Linked DNA regions of Mytilus edulis. The protein of the gene in region 3 purifies or fractionates together with the protein of the main gene of each other region. This does not show direct contact. Links are inferred from orthologs where the notes say so. Each region holds a gene or a part of one and is shown on either strand. Other genes may lie near its edges. The genes, in order: importin-9-like, proteasome subunit alpha type-5-like and akirin-2-like.

Region 1 (7,563 bases), on a different chromosome or scaffold from region 3:
TGTTTGAATTTAAAGACATTTCTTTCGTGGTCTATAAATCAGCTTTATGTACACATGTAGACAATCAGAATTTGTATTTTGGGACGAAAATATAAACTAAATTGTTTAAATAATTTATTCAGACACCCCAAAATTCTTAAAGTGCATTAGTACAATAGGTTGATGGTCTGATGTACATGTAGCTGCGGAACCGTAACTCTTATGGTCCTTTTTTATTTTTTTTTGATTTTGCGGACCATAGAGCTACGGATTTTTCCTATTTCAAAACGTTCGGAATTGCGACCCAGGTTCAGGTCACACTTATTTCCCAAAAAATTATTGTTTATAATCAATGCAAAGCTTGTCAATATATATAGTTCGTTTTGTCAAATATTTTTCTAGGATATGACGTACCTATTTATGTTTGAATATTCATTTCCTTAACACAATTATCTAATTATTTCCATTTGTATACATTCTCCGCCTATTTTGTTCGGCCATATTGAATCTCGTGGTGACGTCACGAAAATCAAGAAAAGATAACTCAAATATCCTCGATCTCCTATGTTGGAGGTGAGGAACGCCTACGAAAAACAAGAACAGACAACTCTTACAGAAAAACACGTGTTGGTTTGTTTACTTATTTCTTGGCGAGAATCGAGTGTTTATAAGACTTTACAACATTTATACATACTAAATATTTAAATTGCTTGAAAGAATTATTATTTCCGTTAGTATCTAACTTTAATTAAACGTACTTTCATTCAAAAGGTCATGAAAATAAAATAAAAGACAACGTAAATAAACTAACACGTGCTTTCCTATTAGAGTTATCTTTTCTTGATTTTCGTGACGTCACCACGAGATTCAATATGGCCGAACAAAATAGGCGGAGAATGTATACAAATGGAAATAATTAGATAATAGTGTTAAGGAAATGAATATTCAAACATAAATAGTTACGTCATATCCTAGAAAAATATTTGACGAAACGAACTATATATATTGACAAGCTTTGCATTGATTATAAACAATAATTTTTTGGGAAATAAGTGCGACCTGAACCTGGGTCGCAATTCCGAACGTTTTGAAATAGGAAAAATCCGTAGCTCTATGGTCCGCAAATAGTCAAAAAATAACATAAGGACCTAAGAGCTACGGTTCCGCAGCTAATGTACATGTAGTCCTGTCTGGTCTTCACATGTAACCTTTGCCATTTATTTCAACTTAAATATGTATAATTTATGAAGTTGAAGCATACATTAGGGAGTAAAAATTTGATTTATAAAGGTCTGAGAAGGACTTACAAATCATAAGACTAGACCAAAAATGCTACAGGAAAATCTAGGATAATCTACATCGGATATCGACCATTTTGACTTAATTATAAAAAGCAGCTTGTATAAAAATTTGAATTCTTATCAATTGGTTGTCCCTAGCAGTTAGTCCATGATTACTCTGACGTCCAATGGCTGTTTTGCTAGACATGCTGGGGCCGTTGGACGTCAGAGCTCGTCCCATATCAAAAAGTGGATATTTGCCCATCCAAAATAGAAGTGCTGTTTCGTCGCTTCTGGTGCCAATGGACGGACTTGGAATTATATAAATCATGTTATTTTGTTCATTTTTCATTTATCTCTTCATTTATGTAAGTTTGGTATCCAGTCATTCCGGCCCCAAACCGATCCGGTCCAAAGTCGATCCGGCCCAAGTCGATCCGGCCACAAGTCAATCCGGCCCCATAATAAAATATGAAATAAACTATATTAATTTTGGAGGAATTTGTGACAGATTTTAACAGTATAAATGGAATTTGCAAAAAAGTGTCCGATGATGGATGACAACAGGTAAGTGAAGTATTGGAAGTACCAGTTAAAGAACTATTTTAAATCGATACACAAATGAGTGTTATTGGTCTGTTTGTATGGCAGCTTCAACATATTTTAAAATATGAAGTTATTTTCCACGATAACTTTAACTTTGAATGTTATGGCGATTTTATTTTATTTAGTTCACACACAGAATAGCTTAATAAATATTTACAGTCCACTGGAACCTATAAAATTTAACTCATCATAATGATTTGTTTAATTATTAGCAGTCTTCACGCCGAGTGGCAGCCCAGACAGCCCAGGCTAGTAAAATTGCTCTGGGGCCTGTGAAAATCATATCTACAGGCCAACCGAATCTAACTAAAATTTTTCAAAAGATTGAGATCTGGGCCTGTAGATTTAACAGATCATCGTGAAGACTGTATTAGTCTATAATTGTTTTGTTTATTCAATAATTGTCTGATGATTGTGAACTAAGGTAATGCCACTCGTAATCACTTAAAAATCTTGATTAATTAAAGTTACGTAAGCAACAAGGTCGTTATAGTCTGATCTTCTGGTTAGTGAATATAATAATAATGAATTGTATTTTGTGATATCAAATATAGTCAATTAAACCGTTGGTTTTCCCGTTTGAATGGTTTTACACTAGTAATTTTGGAGCCCTTTAAAGCTTGTTCTTCGGTACTCAATTATCTTGAAAACTTGTAATAAAAATATAGTTGTTTTATACTCATCTGAATATTTTTTTTTTACCGTACACTTTTTACATTATAATAAAAACCATAAACATTTATGAATTACAATTAACATATATCCTTATTTTTATTACTTATAAATATATTTTTATTGGGTCCGGATCGACTTTACATATGGGCCGGATCGACCCGAAAGCTGTAAGTTTCACCTACCTGCCACCCTTTATTTCATATTTAGACAGTTTTCAAGAGTGTTTGTATGCTTATATAATGCACTGCATTTGTACACATTATTGGCTCCTTTACACCATAACCCAAAGTAGATCATAGTTACGCTCCTCAGAATGAAACCTAATCATACAACACATCAATGTGATATCAAACCTGTTGCCTTTAGTATCAGCGTTTTATTCTACCCTAAACTAATTTTATTGAAAAATTGAATGAACCTTCGGTAACTTCAAGGGCTTTAACTTGTTCTTCCCCAGAAACTCTAAGATCATGGTCGGGAGACAACACAGAACCCAAACTTTCAACTAATGCTTCTTTCAATGACAGATTTCGGTCTGCTCCCGCCATTTTGCTAAATTTAAGTAAAGTTATGTTTGGCGGGTTACACTAATGACTGGACCGAATGACAGGACCGAATGACAGGACCAAATGAAAAATGCTAATAACTTTTTCATTTCTCAAAGGATTGAACTCAAATTTGAAATATAACAAGATTTCATCATTTAATAAATAGATTTAAGAAAAAAAATTTAAAAAATTGTAAGAAACTTAAGAAAACGTGACATGACCAACTCTGATAATGACAGGACCAACATCGAGAATGACAGGACCAAATAAAAATGCTAATAACTTTTTTATTTTTCAAAGGAATTATCTCAGATTTAAAATATAAAATGGTATGTCATATTTTGAAACTAAAATGTTATAAAAAATATAAATTTATTTTCAAAAACTTTCGAAAACGTGACATGACCATCGCTGACTGACATGACCAATATCGACAATGAACAGACCAGATGAAATTGCTAATTTCTCTTTTATTTCTCAAAATATTTTTCTGAAATTTGAAATATAATAAGATTTCATCATTTTATACATAGATTTAAGAAAAAAAATTAAAAAAAATTGTAAGAAACTTTAGAAAACGTGACATGACCAACTCTGATAATGACATGACCAACATCGACAATGACAGGACAAAATAAAAATGCTAATAACTTTTTTTATTTTTCAAAAGAATTATCTCAGATTTGAAACATAAAATGATATGTCACATTTTGAAACATTTATGTTATATAAAAAAAAAATATTTTCAAAAACTTTCAAAAACGTGACATGACCATCGCTGACTGACATGACCAACCTCCACAATGACCGGACCAAATGAAATTGCTAATTGTTCTTTTTTTTCGCAGAATATTTCTCTTAAATTTTAAATTACCATTTCATACATAATATAAGAAAAAGGTATAAAAAGCTTGCTGAAATGTGACCTGGTTAACGTTGTCAATAACAGGACAATCCTCGACAATTAATGACAGGACCAAATAAAAATGCTAATTATGCATAACATTTGTCAGAATATTCCTCTCAAATTTAAAATAATGACAATTTAGACCATTTTGCACATCATATTAGAAAAATATATATAAAAAAAATGTATTGAAAGCTTGCGGTGGTGTGACCTGACCAACATCGGCTACTAATGATCTGGCCAATGAAAAAATCTAAATTTCTTTCTTATTTTAATGAAATTGTTCAGTTCTGATCCATAATTAGTAAGATTATATCTTATAAATACAGGAAAATATATTCTATGGTGGTTAAAAATCTTGACCTAGCTACTTAACGTATGTTGGCAGAGAGTCACAGGTCAAAAAGACACGAATTATCACTATATTTAAGAAAGAGATCTTGAAATGTTTATATGTTATTACATATAATCATTTTATATAATATATCAGTTCATTAAACTATAGATAAATTCAGATTTATTGAATTATCATCATAATATTTCTTGACATAATGAAGCCCAATTTAAGCCACGTGGAAAGGTATCAAACCTTTTAAAGTAGTCCGTGAAAATGTTAGATTTAGTGTATTTTATGAAAATATTTAAAACTACCAAGAAATCATGCATGCAAGGGCCGGGCACACTTCAAGAAATGTTTATTTGTTTATTATTACTATCAAGATAGACCCTTCATATACTCAAACATACATGGAAATAATTATTTACTGTTCTGAAAATATTAATAAAACAACGACATGAACTATTATGTGATTTTAGTTACTGTCATCGCAATCTTTATTGGATTTATCAACTTATTTATGGCTTATGTCACACCTTTTGTTTGTTACCTTATAATTATTTTCAGACGTGTCAGATTATGACCGGTAATTAATATACAAAATATTTTGAATGAATGAATGAATGAGAAGTGCAATATTTCTACAACTCGGTTTAATACAATATTCCAATAAAAAAATCAAATAACGCGGTGGGCGTTCGCAGACCTAACGTTTTCCCTCAGTTAGCTTTTAATTTTTCCCTTATTTTCTAAAAACTTTTAAATCATTCAATCTTAATGTGTGTTTTTTAATTATTATTATTAATTTCAACCAGAATTTCTATAGTAGGAACATAAAAAAAAATCTCTTTAATTGATATATTTTAAATCTGACATAATTTTCTTTTCAAAATTAAAAAAGGTTTGTCCTGTCATTGTCAGCGTTGGTCAGGTCACATTACAGCAATCTTTTAATATTTTTTTCTATGTTATTCCTATCTTTATGTATAAAATGGTTAAATCTGATTATATCTCAAATTTCAGAAAAAAATTTTTTAGAAGTAAAAAGTAGTTAGCAATTTCATCTGGTCCTGTCTTTGTCGAGGTTGGTCCTGTCAGTCTGCGATGGTCATGTCACGTTTAAACTTTCTATATTTTTTATAACATTTATTTTTTAAAATATGACATATCATTTTATGTTTCAAATCTGAGATAATTCTTTTGAAAAATAAAAAAGTTATTAGCATTTTTATTTTGTCCTGTCATTGTCGATGTTGGTCATGTCATTATCAGAGTTGGTCATGTCACGTTTTCTAAAGTTTCTTACAATTTTTTTAATTTTTTTTTCTTAAATCTATGTATAAAATGATGAAATCTTATTATATTTCAAATTTCAGAAAAATATTTTGAGAAATAAAAGAGAAATTAGCAATTTCATCTGGTCCGGTCATTGTCGATATTGGTCATGTCAGTCAGCGATGGTCATGTCACGTTTTCGAAAGTTTTTGAAAATAAATTTATATTTTTTATAACATTTTAGTTTCAAAATATGACATACCATTTTATATTTTAAATCTGAGATAATTCCTTTGAAAAATAAAAAAGTTATTAGCATTTTTATTTGGTCCTGTCATTCTCGATGTTGGTCCTGTCATTATCAGAGTTGGTCATGTCACGTTTTCTTAAGTTTCTTACAATTTTTAAATTTATTTTTTTCTTAATCTATTTATTAAATGATGAAATCTTATTATATTTTAAATTTGAGTTCAATCCTTTGAGAAATGAAAAAGTTATTAGCATTTTTCATTTGGTCCTGTCATTCGGTCCTGTCATTCGGTCCAGTCATTAGTGTAACCCATGTTTGGCGGAGAATTGTTTTCGTATTTTTGTTTTATCATTTTCGAATAAAAAAATAAATGCGTATTTTCTGTGTATCACAACACATTGAAATATATTTCAATTTCAAATTTATAACCAGCTCTATATTTAAAGGATAAAGTGAGATGTATAACCCGACAGTTACGGGAAGATTGTCACCGCTGAGAATCATTTCGGATAAAACCAAAACCGAGTATTTTATTCACACAGCTAGCGACAGGAACGTAACTAGTCTTTGCGTTCTCACAATAATACATTATATTTCTTAAAATCAATTATTTTTATTGGTATTTAACACAATGTTTTCTTGTGCGGAAAATTTAACGAAACATCATTTCATATTCACATGTGTTCTTCTTAAGTTTATTTCCGTTTTGACTTCTTTTAGTTCTATAACTGTTTACTTGTTTTTCCGTAAGGTCATCTCAAGTACAGTACTTATAATCATTGGCCTTTACCTGGTCTTTTGTAAGAACGTTCCTAATCAAAGTAGACCAAAAAAAGCGTTTCGGACGGAACAAATTTGTAAAATGCTATTGTGTCAAGTATGTTATATGGCAATGTAAGAGTAAGGTAGACCAGGTAGTAAATCAGATGAAAGGATATCTATCGCTAAAAAATTGTATAAATGGATAAATATTGCCGAAAAATTAAACATTAGTGTGTGACGTTTATTTTTTTTTATTTTTTTTTGCTCAACTTTTGAAATAATGAAAATATTTTATGTGGACATCAACACAAACATTGATTAAATACTCATTGTATTAGGGGAAAAGATATAAATAATCTGGCTTCCTATGGGCAAAAAAATACGCATAGCTTAGAGTTTGATAGACGTCGTAAGTTGAGAGGAGAGAAATTACCGTTTCTTTGTGGTTGTCACTTACTTGTTGACGACACATATCTTTAAGAATAAGAAGATGTGGTATGATAGTTATAAGAAGATCATATGGTATGATAATTATAGGACAGCTCTTAACCGGAGAATAAATTACGTAATAGTACAATAGATCATCGTACGACCTTCAACAATGAGCACAGCTCATACCATATAGTGAGTTATTAAAGCCCTGAAATGACAAAATGTAAAACAGTCCAAAAGAGAAAAGTAACGGCCTCATCTATGTACAAAACAATCAACAACACACTAGTATACGTATAATACACATCAACAAACGACAATCACTTCATCACAGCCTCCTTGCTTGAAACATACTGAATCGGATGCTGTTAAATAAATTTGCTGGGGCCAAACTCTTTACCTAACCTTAAACAGTGGCGGAACAGTATGCATGGTATAGCATTAGAACAAATTATAAAAAAAAATAGTTGAAAAGGTCTTTACTCATGAGATTGATACAGAGCACAAAATAA
Region 2 (7,229 bases), on a different chromosome or scaffold from region 3:
CTTTCAGGAGTGGATATATTATTTTTACAAAAATAAACTTACTTTAATTGCTTCAATGGCATATTCTACTTGGAATAATCTGCCTTCTGGTGAAAATGTGTTCACACCTCTGTCATACTCAGATCTTGTCAAAAACATCTTTTGTTATCTCTGAAATTACAAACAATGAATTATTTTATACAAATAAAAACTTCCAATTTCAGTCAGTAATGTAAGTAACTTGTGTTGGATGTATTTTGAAAATTCAGATTTAGTAAATCATTGTAACAAAGGAGTATGTTCGATAAGGTCCTAAAATGGCCCACTTTTTTAGCGTAAATTTCAAATTCGGATTTATTGACCAATATCACGATAAATTATAGCTAATACATTGACTAGATAGGATATAAGCCATTTTGTTTAAAATTTAACATTTCTGCGTTTCATTATGACGTCACAAGTTGTACTCATATTGATTTTTCACGAAAAAATCAATGAAAATGGGTAAATTTCCAAAGATTATTTGACAGGAAACATAGAGCGCATACGTCGACAACAAAGATCTTTTAACATAATGTTTGTGAAGACATTTAACATGTCTTATTTGAATATTAAGCTTGTCGACGCCTGCGCTCTATGTTTCCTGGTCCTTTATTTGGTTGAAATCCCGCTGATTTTGTCAAATTTCACCAAAATCCCTTATCTTGACCATTTTGGAATGTAAAAATCGTTGTATTAGAATTAAACTTTGACAAAAACAGCTCTGTTTAACTTTTGTTACATGTCTTTAAGGCAACTTAAAACAATTATTGTCTTGTAACCATGAACTTTATAATTGGGGCCAAATATGGCACTTACCGAACTTACTCCTTTACAATATAATAATAGTTTCACTTCTGAATTTAGTAGCTAATGAGTCTTTCATATTCTGATAATACTATTGATATCAGTGTTATGGTTACAATGGAGTAACTTGACTTCTGCATAGATATTGTTTTATTTGAAAAGGAAAGTGCATACAGGTAACACATGTTTCCTTTTATGGTTAAATATGCAAATCTGCATTGTAAATTGTAATAAGAATGTGTAAAAACAATGCAGGCAATTGTGTATTAAACATGACGATGGTTGATGTAGTTGTATTATTTCTACTCTAGGATGTTTTTTTGGCACTATAAGATGAGGATTCATCAATTTCATGTACATTACAGAGATTTCAGTGAGTCAATAATTTTTTCAATGAACCAATTAACATGATTAATGACAACGACTTTCTTTTATTTTTATTATCATAGTACTGTTCATGGTGTTGTAGATTAAATAAGCAATACACTTCTCAGGATCTTGAAAAAGGGCTTTGCAGCATTTCTGTCTATTGTGAATCTGATGAATCTGGGTCCGTTCGCCCTGATTCAGGTTCGCCCTAGTACCTGTTCGCCTTGGGTTCATTTGCCCTGATTTTTATTTTTTTCTTATTGTTGTCTAGTCGCATAATTTTAAGTATTTGAACAAAATGTTTTAAAGTTTGTTGAAAAATTGACAGAATATTTATATTGCCGCAATCAATTTATCATTTTCCCTTTGATTTTCAGAGAATACTGGAATACAATGTATTTATCTTTATTGATATTTGTTTATCAAATTATAAAGAAACCGACATGTTTATCACCCACTTGACATGACCCTCTGATGTACCAGGCTGTTACCGCGAGCAGTTCGGGCTATTAGATAAATCGCATATGTCACATGATTGTTATCAGTGACTGGGTCATTAAAGTTCAGGTGTATTTTTAGTAACAGTGCAGTGCATAGGTGTTCATGATTTGGAAAAAGATTTGACGCGCAATTTCAAAATCAACCGTCTGTCTATGGTGAAAAAAGATAAAGAAATGACAAAGTTATGAGGGTTTAAAGGAAAGTTAGTGAGCGATTTATATTCAACACTACATTGCTTTAAACAAAGATTTTCGCTTCACCTGTCAATTTCTGTTTATTAGAATTGGCAGGTAATAATCATAGAAAATATACGAATATGCAATGTACTTTAGTTACGGTGATGGGTAACGACTGGAAAGAATATTTGCAATTGAAACATAGAGAAATTTATCGGGAACAACGTAAAAGTGACTTTCTGTTATGACTGTTGATATTAACATTGACGGCAATGAGACAGATATTCGTTTTATTTCTATTGGTAATAAGTTTACTTTTAACATAAAATTTTAATTTTTAATTACTTAATAAAAAATATCTAAAAAAATCTGATTAACATTTCAATAATTGTATATCCAGTCAGTTTATGACACCTCGGGTGTTTCCGTTCTTACTCGGGTATGTAATTAGGACAAAATCTCCCTCTGTGACAGAGTCGATCTCAACTAATTAACAATTCAATTCAATTCAAAGTTTTATTGCCATATAAACTATACAGTTTGTGAACACCCACATACAGAAAAGTCGGTAATATTTTATGTGTAATTATCGTCTTTCGTCCTCTCTCCTTCTAATATAACCACCTTGGGCGAACGGACTCTACGGGCGAAAGAACTTAGGGCAAACGGACCCAGGGCGAACATGTTATTAGGGCGAACAGACCCGATACTGAATCTGATGATGCCTTTGTTTTTGATGGAGTGTCAGTGCGACTTAAAAAAATCTATGTTTAAACCATATATATATGAAGCCCCAAACAGGAGGGATGGTAACTGCTTCCTTATATATAAATCTGACTTAGCAAGGTACTAGGTGGGTGGCTATAATCTTGTAAATACTATATTTTGAGTAAGATGATGGATCATGATATTGCAGTTTTGCAAAACTTGAAAGTTTTCATTTATTTATTGATATATTGAAAAGGTACGAAATATCATCAACGTATAATTTCAATAAACATTTATAAAGAAAAAAGATTGTTTCGTGTTGCTTCTCTGAGTCTCTTTTGTTTAGTGTTAAAAGATGTGTTTAAAATTGTGAAAAATGAACTCACCGGCAGTTTGCAACTAAGGATTGACTAACTAACGAAATCGGACGACGTACCAAACCTGAATTTCTCCGGATTTGTTAAAAAATTAAAACAGCCACGTGTTTTTCGTCAATAAGCGGCGGAAATGTTTTTGCTGACGATTTTAATTTAAAAAGAAATAAAAATGATGTCATTTCAATGCCAGATTTGGACATTTAATCCATTAAAACGCTAATATACAAATACAAATGCAAATATATCTTTTTTTATCATGGCACAAACTCAATAACGATCATTACTATACTATATATAAAAATATTAATTTTCGCGAACCATTTAGGTCACGGAAATTCCAAAATATGGCATCAGTAAGGAGAGTTGTGCAAATAATGTGAATACACAGAACCCCCATCCAAATTATCTTTAGCTAAAAGTATTCATCATTTTCTATTTTATATGTACTAACAACATTCCATTTTTCTATTATTTCGATTAAAATATTCCAAAATCTGAGTTAAAAAAAGTCAAATGCCCAAAATAAACATTGTCTGATTGGTTGAAGTACTGTGGCGTCAATGATAAGCATAGCAAGCCTCGATGTAAAGCACACGCTTCACATGAATAAGGAGAGTTTTACAAATAATGTGAATACACAGATCCTCCATCCTATTTATATTTTGCTGAAAATGTTGCAATGTTCATCATTTCTGTTTTGATTCTGCTAACAACATTCCATTTTTTCTTTAATTCCGATTTATATATGTGGAACCCGCAATAAAAATAGATGGCCTCAATGATTTAAACGCAACGCAAAAAATTCCGTTGACCCTGAATTCAACGGATCGATATTAGCATCATCACCATCAACAAAATGTTTACCGTTATCTTTGTGAAATTTCAGTTATATAGTTCTTTAATTAGAGAAATTTTGGTAAGTATTACTTATTAATGTTAAGGTTCTACTGATGTGCTCCTCTAGACCTTTTTGACGGTCCGTTTTATCCCATTTATCTCAATATTATCTCCGATGACAGTAATGTCAGAGACATATAATACAATTGTATTATATGTCTCTGGTAATGTCAACCCGACCTATTCGTGTCAAAAGTGAAAATCGCATCGATTTATTGAACTAATTTCTTCTTAAACTGTGCATGCATTATTTCTGTATTATATGATAACCAATCACATTCACGTTGCATGTTTGCATGAAAATGGTCATGTATTAGTGAATTGTAAGGGCGATGCAACTTGAGGTCAGTGCGCGATCACGTGACATTATTATTTGTAAACAAATTTAAAACATGCTCCCCGCGTAACACGTGTCTGAATTATCCTTTCAAAGTGTTATGAATCTTTCAATCACTATTTTATGAAATATTTCTAGGTTTGCATATCAGTAGTCAAAGTGAATTAAACGTAGTTCTTAGTTGTGTTTTTTTTTATATAGAATTAGAAGGTAAATCTACATAAGGGGGTCTCATTGGGGGGGGGGGGGGGGGGGGGGGGTGGTGTTCTGATCCCAGATCCCACTTACTGTTTTGTCAGATTCCCATATCCCACTTACACTATGTACATGAGCAATTTTCATTTTTTTGTCATTTCCGGGGTCCTGCAGAACCCCATTTCCCGTTTTCACGACAGACCTCATTTCCCGTTTTCATGACACAATAATTTGACTTTCACGTTTCACGCTTGCGAAAAATTGTCAATATTGGTCACGCTTAGACCCAATGAGAACCACACACTAGTCAGTATTTAACTTCACCCAAAAAGATGACTCAACTTCCCTCTATATTTAAAACCTGCATACTAATTTAAATAGCATTTGCTCCCCTTGAACACTACTTGGCCCCTTCCGTGTCATTTCCCTTTAAATTTGCTGAAAAGTCATACTTTAAGTCCATTAACAGTAACGGCTAATATTTGATTTTACCATCTTAATTTCAATTTTCATATTGAACACATTTGACCATTCAATATGAGTTCCCATGTATTTTTGTCATATATGAAGGAGGTTTTAGGTCATGTTTTCCTAAACACCTTATTGCTATTTGTCTGTCTGGATTGTTAAAACCACAAAATCAAATATTGATGAATATGCAAGTTTTCAACAATCCCGGAACATTAACAAAGATGTGTGTGAGAGGGTGAAAATTACCCTTCTGATGTACTGATATTTTTAGCACCCCAAGTGAGAATCTAACTCAGGACTTTCAGCACTGTAGCCATCGGTCTTAACCACAAGATCACGAACTCACATTTGATGAACTAATTTCTTCTATATTAACTGTACGTGCATAAATTCTGTATTATTTGATAACCAATCACATTCACGTAGCATGTTTGCATGATAATGGGTTCTGTATGAGTGAACTGTAGTGTATTGCAAAATTAATGCAAATTGTGACGTCAGTGCGCCTTCACGTGACATAATTATTTGTAACCAAACCGGCTTCTCATGTAATGTAACGGTTTATTTCGTCCTCTGTGATATTTTATCCTGAGGATAATTTGTCCCGGTAATTTTTTTCCAGGCATGTTATTTCATTTCACAGGTTGATTTTTCCCAGAGGAGTGAAAATCTATCAGATTTCTGTGTTATGCGGATAGTATGTACGGGTATATATTTGCCGTATTATATTTCACAGAACCGTGTGAAAAAGAGTCCCATTAACTACTATGTAAGTTACTCTCAATCAATATATACCTGACTATAATTATAAAATGTTTACAAAGGTAAGCAACTGTCTAGGGCCAGGTAAGGGAGGGGAAAAATTAGTATTAGTACTATTTCGCAGAACGATAAACAGATGCATAGACAGACCAAGGGGGTGGGGGAAATTTAGCTTATGACATATATGTAAGAAATCATTGAAGCTTGATGGGAGTGGGCAACCCTCTGGTCCATCAGAGCCCCCACACCTTTTTGAAAAGTTCTGGATCTGCCACTGAGATTTGCAGGTTTTCTTAGTAAAGATACCTTAAAATATCACAAACTGTGTGCTTTCCAGACCATAGTTTACATTTTTTTCATATTTTGCCGTGTCAAAATGACCTAAATTTAAAGGACAGTATATAGACCCAAAAATGGTATATCACATTCTACACATCAAGATTTTAGCAGGAAAGACTGCCATTGGAGTTTTTAACCATTGTGACTTTTTAATTTGATCTACTCCACTAATTAAAGTCGTTGAAGTAGAATATTTAATGTAGGTTTGTCCACATTTTGGTATATATTAATACATGTTTAGAAATAATGTTGAGCCTGTTCCTAGATGCCTGTTATAGACTTCAATATTTATTGTTAATTGAAAATAAATGGAATCAATTCTTTCAGAAAAGTTTAATTCTATGGAAATGTATCCCCCCTTTTATAAGTTGAAAAGGCTACATAGAGGTCAATATACAGTCTCCAACAGAAAACCAAAAAAGGAAAAATAAAGTGAATTTTGGAGAATTATTAAATGTACATGCATTTGAAATATTTAAGATATATTGTTTCAATTTTTTAGTTCTAGGTTCCACATAACTACCATTTTAGAAAACGATTTCAATGCTAAGTCTATTAGAGGGATATTTGATTTTCATTGGTTGTAAATATGGAATCTTATTCAGTGGCAAAGGAAATAGACACTGACAAGTCTTAGATAACATTTTATATAGTTTTGAATTTTTCTTCGTCAGTTGACTAAAATTAGATGGAGGTGTGTTCTAATTTCCAACAGAGGAGCAATCAACCTATATCAATATGTGCATGAAGCAAATTGATAGTTGCTAGATACTGAATGATTATATCCACAATAAAGGTTTAACCTGTGCATATATACTTAAAACAAGATAAAAAAAGTCATGTCTTTTTCAGGACTTCTGAATCCAATCATGTAGTATGGAATGTTATTGAGATATGGTTTGGGTGGATGGATGGTCATGAAGGACCTGTAGTACAAAGTATATCACTGGATTTAGCTCTTTGTCTAAGTGTATTATTAAAGTACCTTGCTTTGAGCTCAGTTCATTGTTATGCAATTCATTCTTTGTGAAATTAAGATTTGACAGACAACTCTAATGGACAAGGATTTGTCAAAGTAGTATCATCTCTATGTACAATGTAAGTATTCAGGAGATAAAAGCATTCTATTTTGATTTGAACCATACATTTTATAAAAAAAAGTGGGAACAAATTTACCGGACAATGCTACTCCCACTACTAGCAATATGATGCTAGGTTGTTTTAATACATCTGTATTGCCTGCTGATGACTCGGCCCTGAGTGTAAACGGTC
Region 3 (7,582 bases):
GTATTCATTTTTAATCTGTTCTTCTCTGTCTTTCAGCATGCGCTCACATATCATACTGACTTGCTTGAAGGTAAACAATGGCATTTCTCTTTTGTTTGGAGATAATGCACTGAACATGTTGCCAGCGGAAGATGATGGTGATGCTGATCCATCAATGGACAGGCTTGATGAAGATTCATGTGGTGGGGACATGTTTGGTGGTGTCTGAATACCAGAATACTGTAGTTGTTTTCTTCTGTGCATACGTTTAATTTCATTTCCAATACTGGCAGCAATTTGTTCTGAAAAAGGCATTCAGTATATATATGAAACAGGGTTCTTACTATGAATTTTTCAGGGTGAGTGTGTACTACATGTAATTTCATATGACTGAGGAAAACTCAAGTTAAAGACAGGAAAAAAAAAAAGGTACAACATATGTAGAGGTGGACAATGGTAACCTTAATGCCCCCTCTGTTACAGTGGGGGCATTAAAATGCATGGATGGAAGATATTTGTCAATTTTGCTAGCAATCATACCTTCAACAGTCTGCACCAAAAACTTTTTCATCTACTAGTCCGGACACTAAATATCAAAACTTGTCCTTATATGCCTATATAAAATTTTGAAAATTTTCACTAGTCTGAATCAATTTTTACTAGTCTGGGGCATCGGACTAGTGGCTAATGGTGCAGACTGCTTCAATATTCTTTTAATAATTTTATCTGGTTAGATAACTTTTCAGCTGATTTTTAAGAATTGTTTTATTACATATGTTCAATGTTTTGGCTTACAATGTACTTAAGGTTCATCATAACCTTTTGGCTAATGGTGGCCGTATTTACACCACAAATTTTATTCTGAATACAGACAAACCTATACACCTGCAAAAGTTTTAAGGGATGGAAGGAACTAGATATATAAATTTTAAATGCATTTTGGGTTTTAGAAAAACTTTACTAGATTTGCTATTCATTAATTTTTTTTCTTTCCTGCAGAAGGTGCCAAAATAAAATAAGTTCGAAAATGTTTGAGAATCTCCCCTCATATAATACATGTTGTAAGTAAATGTAGTACAGATTTAAATGGACAAAAGATATCTGCAGACAATAGGTGATTAAAACTGTGTAACTGAGTGGACCGTTTCAAATGAAACTTGGGTGTTTGTTTATTTGCTATCTTCTGCAGACTGGAAAAAACTGAACATAAAAATCCATTTAAACATTTAAAGTTTTAAAATTTTCTGAAACCTTTACAACATATAACTGTTATGTATCTACATGTAGGTTCTGCCATGCCTTAAAACTTTCCTAGATGTACCAATTTGTCTGCACTCGTAGTAAATTTGGAGGTGTAAACATGGCCATATTTTTCAATTTCTTATGACATGTATGATGAACCTTAAGCAATGTAAAGAATTAATTTTTGAAGCCCCTAATTTATTTGTCAAGCCTTGACTAGTATGGAATTAGTTAATTTAGTGGCAAAGAGACACTTCAGCACAAAGAGGTATTAATGGCACCCTGAACACTTCCAAAGAAAAATCCTGTTGGGACATTTCAGGACCTAGACAATTTTGCTCCTCATGTCATTTTGGGACTGGAAGGGGTCCATTAATTCTGAATTTTTTTTTATTATTTTCAAGATGTTCTCTATTCTATTTATTCCTTTGTTCTCTTTTCTTGAAATTCTCTACACCCATACCTGCCAACTTTTCAAAATGCCCATGGGGGTTTTGCGTGCAAGATGGCTGTCATAGTCCTAAAAAACCTTCAAGGGGGCCTGCAAATACATTTTAATGTTGTTTTTTGGCTTCTTCATACCTTTATAAGCCTAAAGTCATTGTAAAATTAGTTGTTTTATTTAAATTGTGGACAAAACTGCTCTTTCAAAATTTCAATTTGGGAGCCTCCATGGGGGAAATCCCCCGCAAATAGTGAGTTGGCAGGTATGTACACCCCATTATTTCAGACTCCTTAATTTTTACCCATTATTCTGTAATCCTCATCCAGACCTCCATATATTTGATTGAAGATATGAAATGAATATTCTAAGTAGTCATAAGTTTTTTTGCAAACAGCTTGCATTTATTTACTACATGTACATGCATTTAGATGGTGGTTGTTTAAACTTCCAAATTTCAGACAAAACATCTGTAAATATTATAAATTTTATAAAATTTATATTCTGAATGTTATTAATTACAGGCCCTAGTTCATAACCCCTAGCAATATTATGTAACATCAAGTAGGTCAAGAAACTTGATGGAAGGCCATTCTATTGAATTGATGAGATGAGCAATAATTATTTGAAGAGCTCAACTGGAAAATAAACAAAGTGGTTGTTTTCCAATCAGAGGTGTCCTTTTGACTTGGTGCCGAAGAGGAAGTGTCAGGAATAATTTCTGGTGGTATGTCTGAAGTGAAGCCGAGGTGATGTTGGATTGGACTGTTTACATGGTATCAATGCCCCAAGGGATATAGAAATGCCATAATAATACATGAAAAATTCTTATTGTTTACTTCTCGGCATTTTTAATTTCGATTAAAATTCAATGCGACTCCTTTGATTACACTTTACAGCCTTTGATAATATCTTACCCGATGTCAATTTCTGACCAACTTCTCCAAACGGCGATGGATTTACTTGATGTTGCTTCGTTGGTGGGGTGGACGGCGACATAGTCATTGGCATACATCTACGTCTCTTTGGTGTTGTTTGTCCAGGACTGTGTATAGGATCGAATTCAAGATTCCTTTTCAAAGTTAATGTTGCTCCGCAAGCCATTTTTTATGACTGTAATTTAGTTTCGATAGGTGCCCAATAAAAATTGTATATGCAACTGACCTTCTATAAACAGAAGGTCAAAAACGATTCCCAGACGAAAAATAAATGTTTAAAGATAATATAAGAGGATAATATTGCTGTTTGGCTTGAATTTGAAGCCGATGATTGTTGATTTTTTTTACCGGATTCACTACCATCTAGTAAATATGGCCGTTTCCAGAATCAAAACAATCAAGCCTCGTTTTCAACAAAATCATAAAATTATTTGAACATGCCCCGAACTTGTCCTATAATACCGATATAAGAAATCGTTTCTCGTTACGGGCTGAAATTCTTCTTCCTTCCTGCAAAATTGCAAAAATTATTTATTTTCGTGAAAAAAATATTAATCACCGTGAAAATCTCATAATAAAGGTATGCCAAATAGCAGTTTGGTATTGTTGTTAATTACAAATAATGTAGGTAACTTTTCTTCATGTCATCGTGCCTGTAAACACACACGCACATTATATTTGCGTTGCTGAACTTTTCACCGACTGCATATTAGTTGGCATAGATGGTAGAAATAGAAATGAGAATTTGTTCTCGGTATTACGTTTCATTGTATTTATTATCATTCGTTTTTTAATAATATGACGCGTCTGAAGCCATCGCAATAATGTCCCTTTCTTTAATAGAATTATTCCTTGTTTTTCCAATATTCAAAAATATAACAAATCAATACAGGAACAGGAGGAATACTTGAATTACCATAAGATTTTAAATCGGATCGGGTTGTAAAAACATTAAGTTGGTTTAATAACATTGGGTTCCGCAAAAAAAAAAAAAAATCATCAAAGAGCAGTTTGACTACAAAAAAATATTTAAAAATAACAACAACACCACATGTCTTTGTCTCACTAATATGATATCATGTGGGTTTAGTTTGTTTTATTTTGTTGTTGTCGAAAACCTATTGTGTTTTATTTCCTCCTCAAAATGGAATGTCTTTATCACTGAATGAATCGAAAAAAAAAATTCCAAACGAAGTATTAAAAGTCGTACTGATCTTAATGAAATTGTTTCCCAAAAAATGGATAGGAGGAGGAAATAAATGGAGAAATCAATGAAAACTGAATATTGACTAATAAAACAGCGTAAATGAGATCTAGGTCAGATGAAACAGGTAGAAGGATTTTAAGTTTTATATACAATCGTTCCATATGTCAAATATTGTGACCACATTTTAATTGAATGTCATAGTGATGCATCAGCTAGTAGAACTGAGAAGAGCAAAATCCCTAATTTTTTCCAAACATCACAATACATAAACCAGTATGCACATTTTTTTTGTGTTCAATTATTTATGCAATTGTATTTTAAATGTAAAATGTATAATTACTTTCTAATTAAAAAAAAAACTTCGTACAAGTCAGATACAAAACAAAAGTAACAATCAAAAAGCCCGTGACAGGATAGTAATAACCAGCCATATAGTTTTTCTGAACTTGAAGTCGTCAAGGTCCTCGATTATCGTCTCGGACTTGACGTGACTATTCGTGCAAAAAAAAAAACTATATGGCAACGGTTTTTACCAGGCTGTTTTAGTTACCTTTGTTCTGTATCTTATACTTAAATTAATTCTGTTTTGAGAAATACTTTATAGTTTCCAACGGAAAATTATTCCTTTCAGTTCAAACGAAAATTGTTATTCTAACCTAGACGTCTTTTCCGGCTTATTTGTACTTTGTAGTTTCTGTATTCAAGATCCACGAAAGAGTAATAACAGAAATCGTATTTTAGAAAAGGCAAGATACATTTTTTGTTCATGTAACAAATGGTTGAAATAGACGACATGGAAACGACTTATCATAGCGAATTTTGGAGAAAAAAAATCGGACGTATTGGTGTTGGTACAGAACGAAGAAAACTTATACCTATGTCGGTTCAATTGCCGGACGGAACCATAGCCCATGGTCGTGAAGCAGTGGTTTCGGAATGGAAACGTGCGTATTGTAGTTTACTAAACCCAGAAACTGTCAATTCAGAATACGTAATGGACCAAAGACTTGATACCGAGATTGAAATGAATAATGAAATCACAAGTTTTGAAGTAGTGAACGCTGTGCGTAGCCTAAAGCGTAACAAAGCCGTTGGCGTGGACGAAATACCGGCAGAAATCCTTAAAGTCCCAAGTTTACTGAACTTTTTACACAAACTTTTTAACAAGTGTTTTTCGAGTGGAGTTATCCCTACAACGTGGACAAAGGGAATTATAAACCCAATTCCGAAATCGTCAACATCAAATCCGAAAGACCCAATGAGCTACCGAGGTATAACGTTGGTACCAGTGTGCTATAAACTATACTGTCATATACTTAATAACAGGCTAGTAAAATGGGAGAACGAAAATGACATTCTTCATGACAGTCAAAACGGATTCCGGAAAGGGCGCAGTACAATTGATCACATTAAATCGTTAACATCAATAATCGAGACTAGGAAATTGAAACGTTTATCGACTTTCGTGGCTTTTATTGATTTTCGTAAGGCATATGACGGGATAAATCGAGCGATGTTATTCCAGAAACTATTCGACCTTGGTATATGTGGGAATATTTATAACGCTATTTTGTCTCTGTATTAGTCCGTGGAATGCTGTGTTCGCATTAATGGACATCAGACAGATTGGTTTAACGTTCAATGTGGTCTTAAACAAGGCTGTTTATTGTCGCCATTACTTTTCAACTTGTATATAAACGGATTAGCTACGTATATTGATTCACTAGATATTGGCATTGACATCGATGGGGAAAAGGTGTCCATGTTACTTTATGCCGATGATTTAGTGTTTTTATCAAACACAGAAACAGAGCTACAAACATTACTCGATGCATTGGATTTATGGTGTACCGATAACAAGATGACAATAAACGACAATAAGTCAAATATAGTCTACTTTCGGCCAAATTCGTTCCCGAGAAGTCCAACAATCTTTCACTGCGGAAACCACATTTTACAGACAGTAGAACGTTACACATATTTAGGCTTAGTTTTTACAGAACACTTGGACTATAACGTCATGGCAAAATACGTTGCAGCAACAGCTAGTCGAGCACTTGGACTTGTAATATCGAAATACAAGGGACTTGGAGGTTTACCTTTTGGAACTTTTACAAAGCTGTACGACTCTATGGTTTGGAGGACTATTAGTTACGGTGCGGCAGTATGGGGAGATAAGTCATTCTCGTGTATAAATGCAGTTCAAAACAAAGCAATCCGTTTTTTTCATGGGAGTTGGTCGTTATACCCCAAACGTTGCAGTAAATGGAGATTCGGGATGGACACCACCGTTTGTGAAACAGTGGCGGGTAATCATAAACTATTGGAATCGGTTACGATATATGGCTGAGAATAGAATAAATAAGAAAATAGACAATTGGGCAGAGCAGAATTTCAGACGTCATCGAGTGTGCAAAAACTCAAACTTTAGAATTTATAGTCTATTCGAATCATGTGGTATAGCGAACTTGTTTAATGACACTGATATTGATAAGCAGCAAGTTAACAATGCTCTACATGTAAAACTTATGTCCGACTTTAAACAGAAATGGAATGAAGATTTGCATAAAGACACTACCAGACGAAATGGACCAGGAGGTAACAACCTACGTACATATAGAACATTTAAACAGGATGTATATACAGAACTTTACCTAGATAAACTTGTAATACCATCGCACAGAAGAGCATACTCTCAGTTTCGCTGTGGTGTTGCCCCAATACGTTTAGAGACAGGACGCTACGAGAGTCATCCAATTAATAGATCAAAGAACTTGTTTTGTTTGTGACGATAAAATTGAAAACGAGGAGCATGTATTGACTGAATGTCCGTTTTATACGACGATCTTAGAGACGAACTGTATAAGTTTTTAAACTTTGAAAACGAAAATTTTAGTCTATTGCCGAATTCTTTGAAACTTTCATTTATTTTAGCGAGTGATAATATTAATGTGATACAAAAATGTGCCAAAACCTGCAAGCTTATTTTAGACCGTAGACGACGTTTTTTATACCGATAATTGATGTAAATATGTTTTATGATTTAACTTTATTTTTGTTTTATAATTGCTTTTTGAAAATTTGTAAATACTAGTTCCTTTTAATCCGTCTCTCATAATTCTTTTAGAATGGCATTAATAATTTTAAAAAAGGTTTACTTTTATAATGTGAAATGTGTATACTGTATTATTGATGGTGAGACGTTAATAAATTATTATTGTATTGTATTGTAACATTTTAATAGTTTAATTAATTACCTGTCTACCTATCATTTCAACTTTTTTAGATTTTTAATATTAAATTAGAAATTACGAATCTACAAATTAGATGGAAATGTTTTTAAGTGCCCGACTGAGTTGGCGGCATGTTGTATCATCAGGTAAACACTAGTCCGGCCGTGCTTCTGTCCGTCCGTTAATACTCTAATGTCTAAAATAATAATACGAAGATGTGGTATAATTGCAAATGAGACAACTATCCACCAGTGACAAAATGACGTAGAATTTTATCGTAGGGCCTTCAGCAAGTAGCAAAACGAATACTAATAAAACTAATAGTTTAGAAGGTAGTCAGTGTCATATTTCATTTCATTTTTTTTAATTTCCAATAATTCTGGCAAAGAGAGACAGAGGAAAAACAAACTTTCTTTTTTCAAAGCGGAGTAGAAGAAGCTTTCGAATAATATTACATTTCACGGGCGGTGTTTCTGAAATCTTATTTCAAAGCTGAGATTCTCGTTTAGTGGGGCAAAATAATGAGACCTGACAAATACTG

The links.
Region 1: the proteins of akirin-2-like (region 3) and importin-9-like purify together in Homo sapiens (affinity purification with mass spectrometry; 3 studies listed by BioGRID and IntAct, counting the BioPlex papers as one, with this or other methods). This does not show direct contact. The link is inferred for Mytilus edulis from reciprocal best matches to the Homo sapiens genes AKIRIN2 and IPO9.
Region 2: the proteins of akirin-2-like (region 3) and proteasome subunit alpha type-5-like purify together in Homo sapiens (affinity purification with mass spectrometry; 3 studies listed by BioGRID and IntAct, with this or other methods). This does not show direct contact. The link is inferred for Mytilus edulis from reciprocal best matches to the Homo sapiens genes AKIRIN2 and PSMA5.

The regions. Positions count from the first base shown.
Region 1 is NC_092344.1:77,449,945-77,457,507, forward strand, and holds the start of importin-9-like, read right to left. Parts: upstream 3,116-7,563; 5' UTR 3,089-3,115; coding exon 2,959-3,088; intron 1-2,958. UniProt on the Homo sapiens protein: Nuclear transport receptor that mediates nuclear import of proteins, such as histones, proteasome and actin. Serves as receptor for nuclear localization signals (NLS) in cargo substrates.
Region 2 is NC_092344.1:63,108,017-63,115,245, reverse strand, and holds the start of proteasome subunit alpha type-5-like, read right to left. Parts: upstream 3,081-7,229; 5' UTR 2,966-3,080; intron 151-2,965; 5' UTR 139-150; coding exon 43-138; intron 1-42. UniProt on the Homo sapiens protein: Component of the 20S core proteasome complex involved in the proteolytic degradation of most intracellular proteins. This complex plays numerous essential roles within the cell by associating with different regulatory particles.
Region 3 is NC_092353.1:61,385,683-61,393,264, reverse strand, and holds the start of akirin-2-like, read right to left. Parts: upstream 3,025-7,582; 5' UTR 2,768-3,024; coding exon 2,581-2,767; intron 282-2,580; coding exon 1-281. UniProt on the Homo sapiens protein: Molecular adapter that acts as a bridge between a variety of multiprotein complexes, and which is involved in embryonic development, immunity, myogenesis and brain development.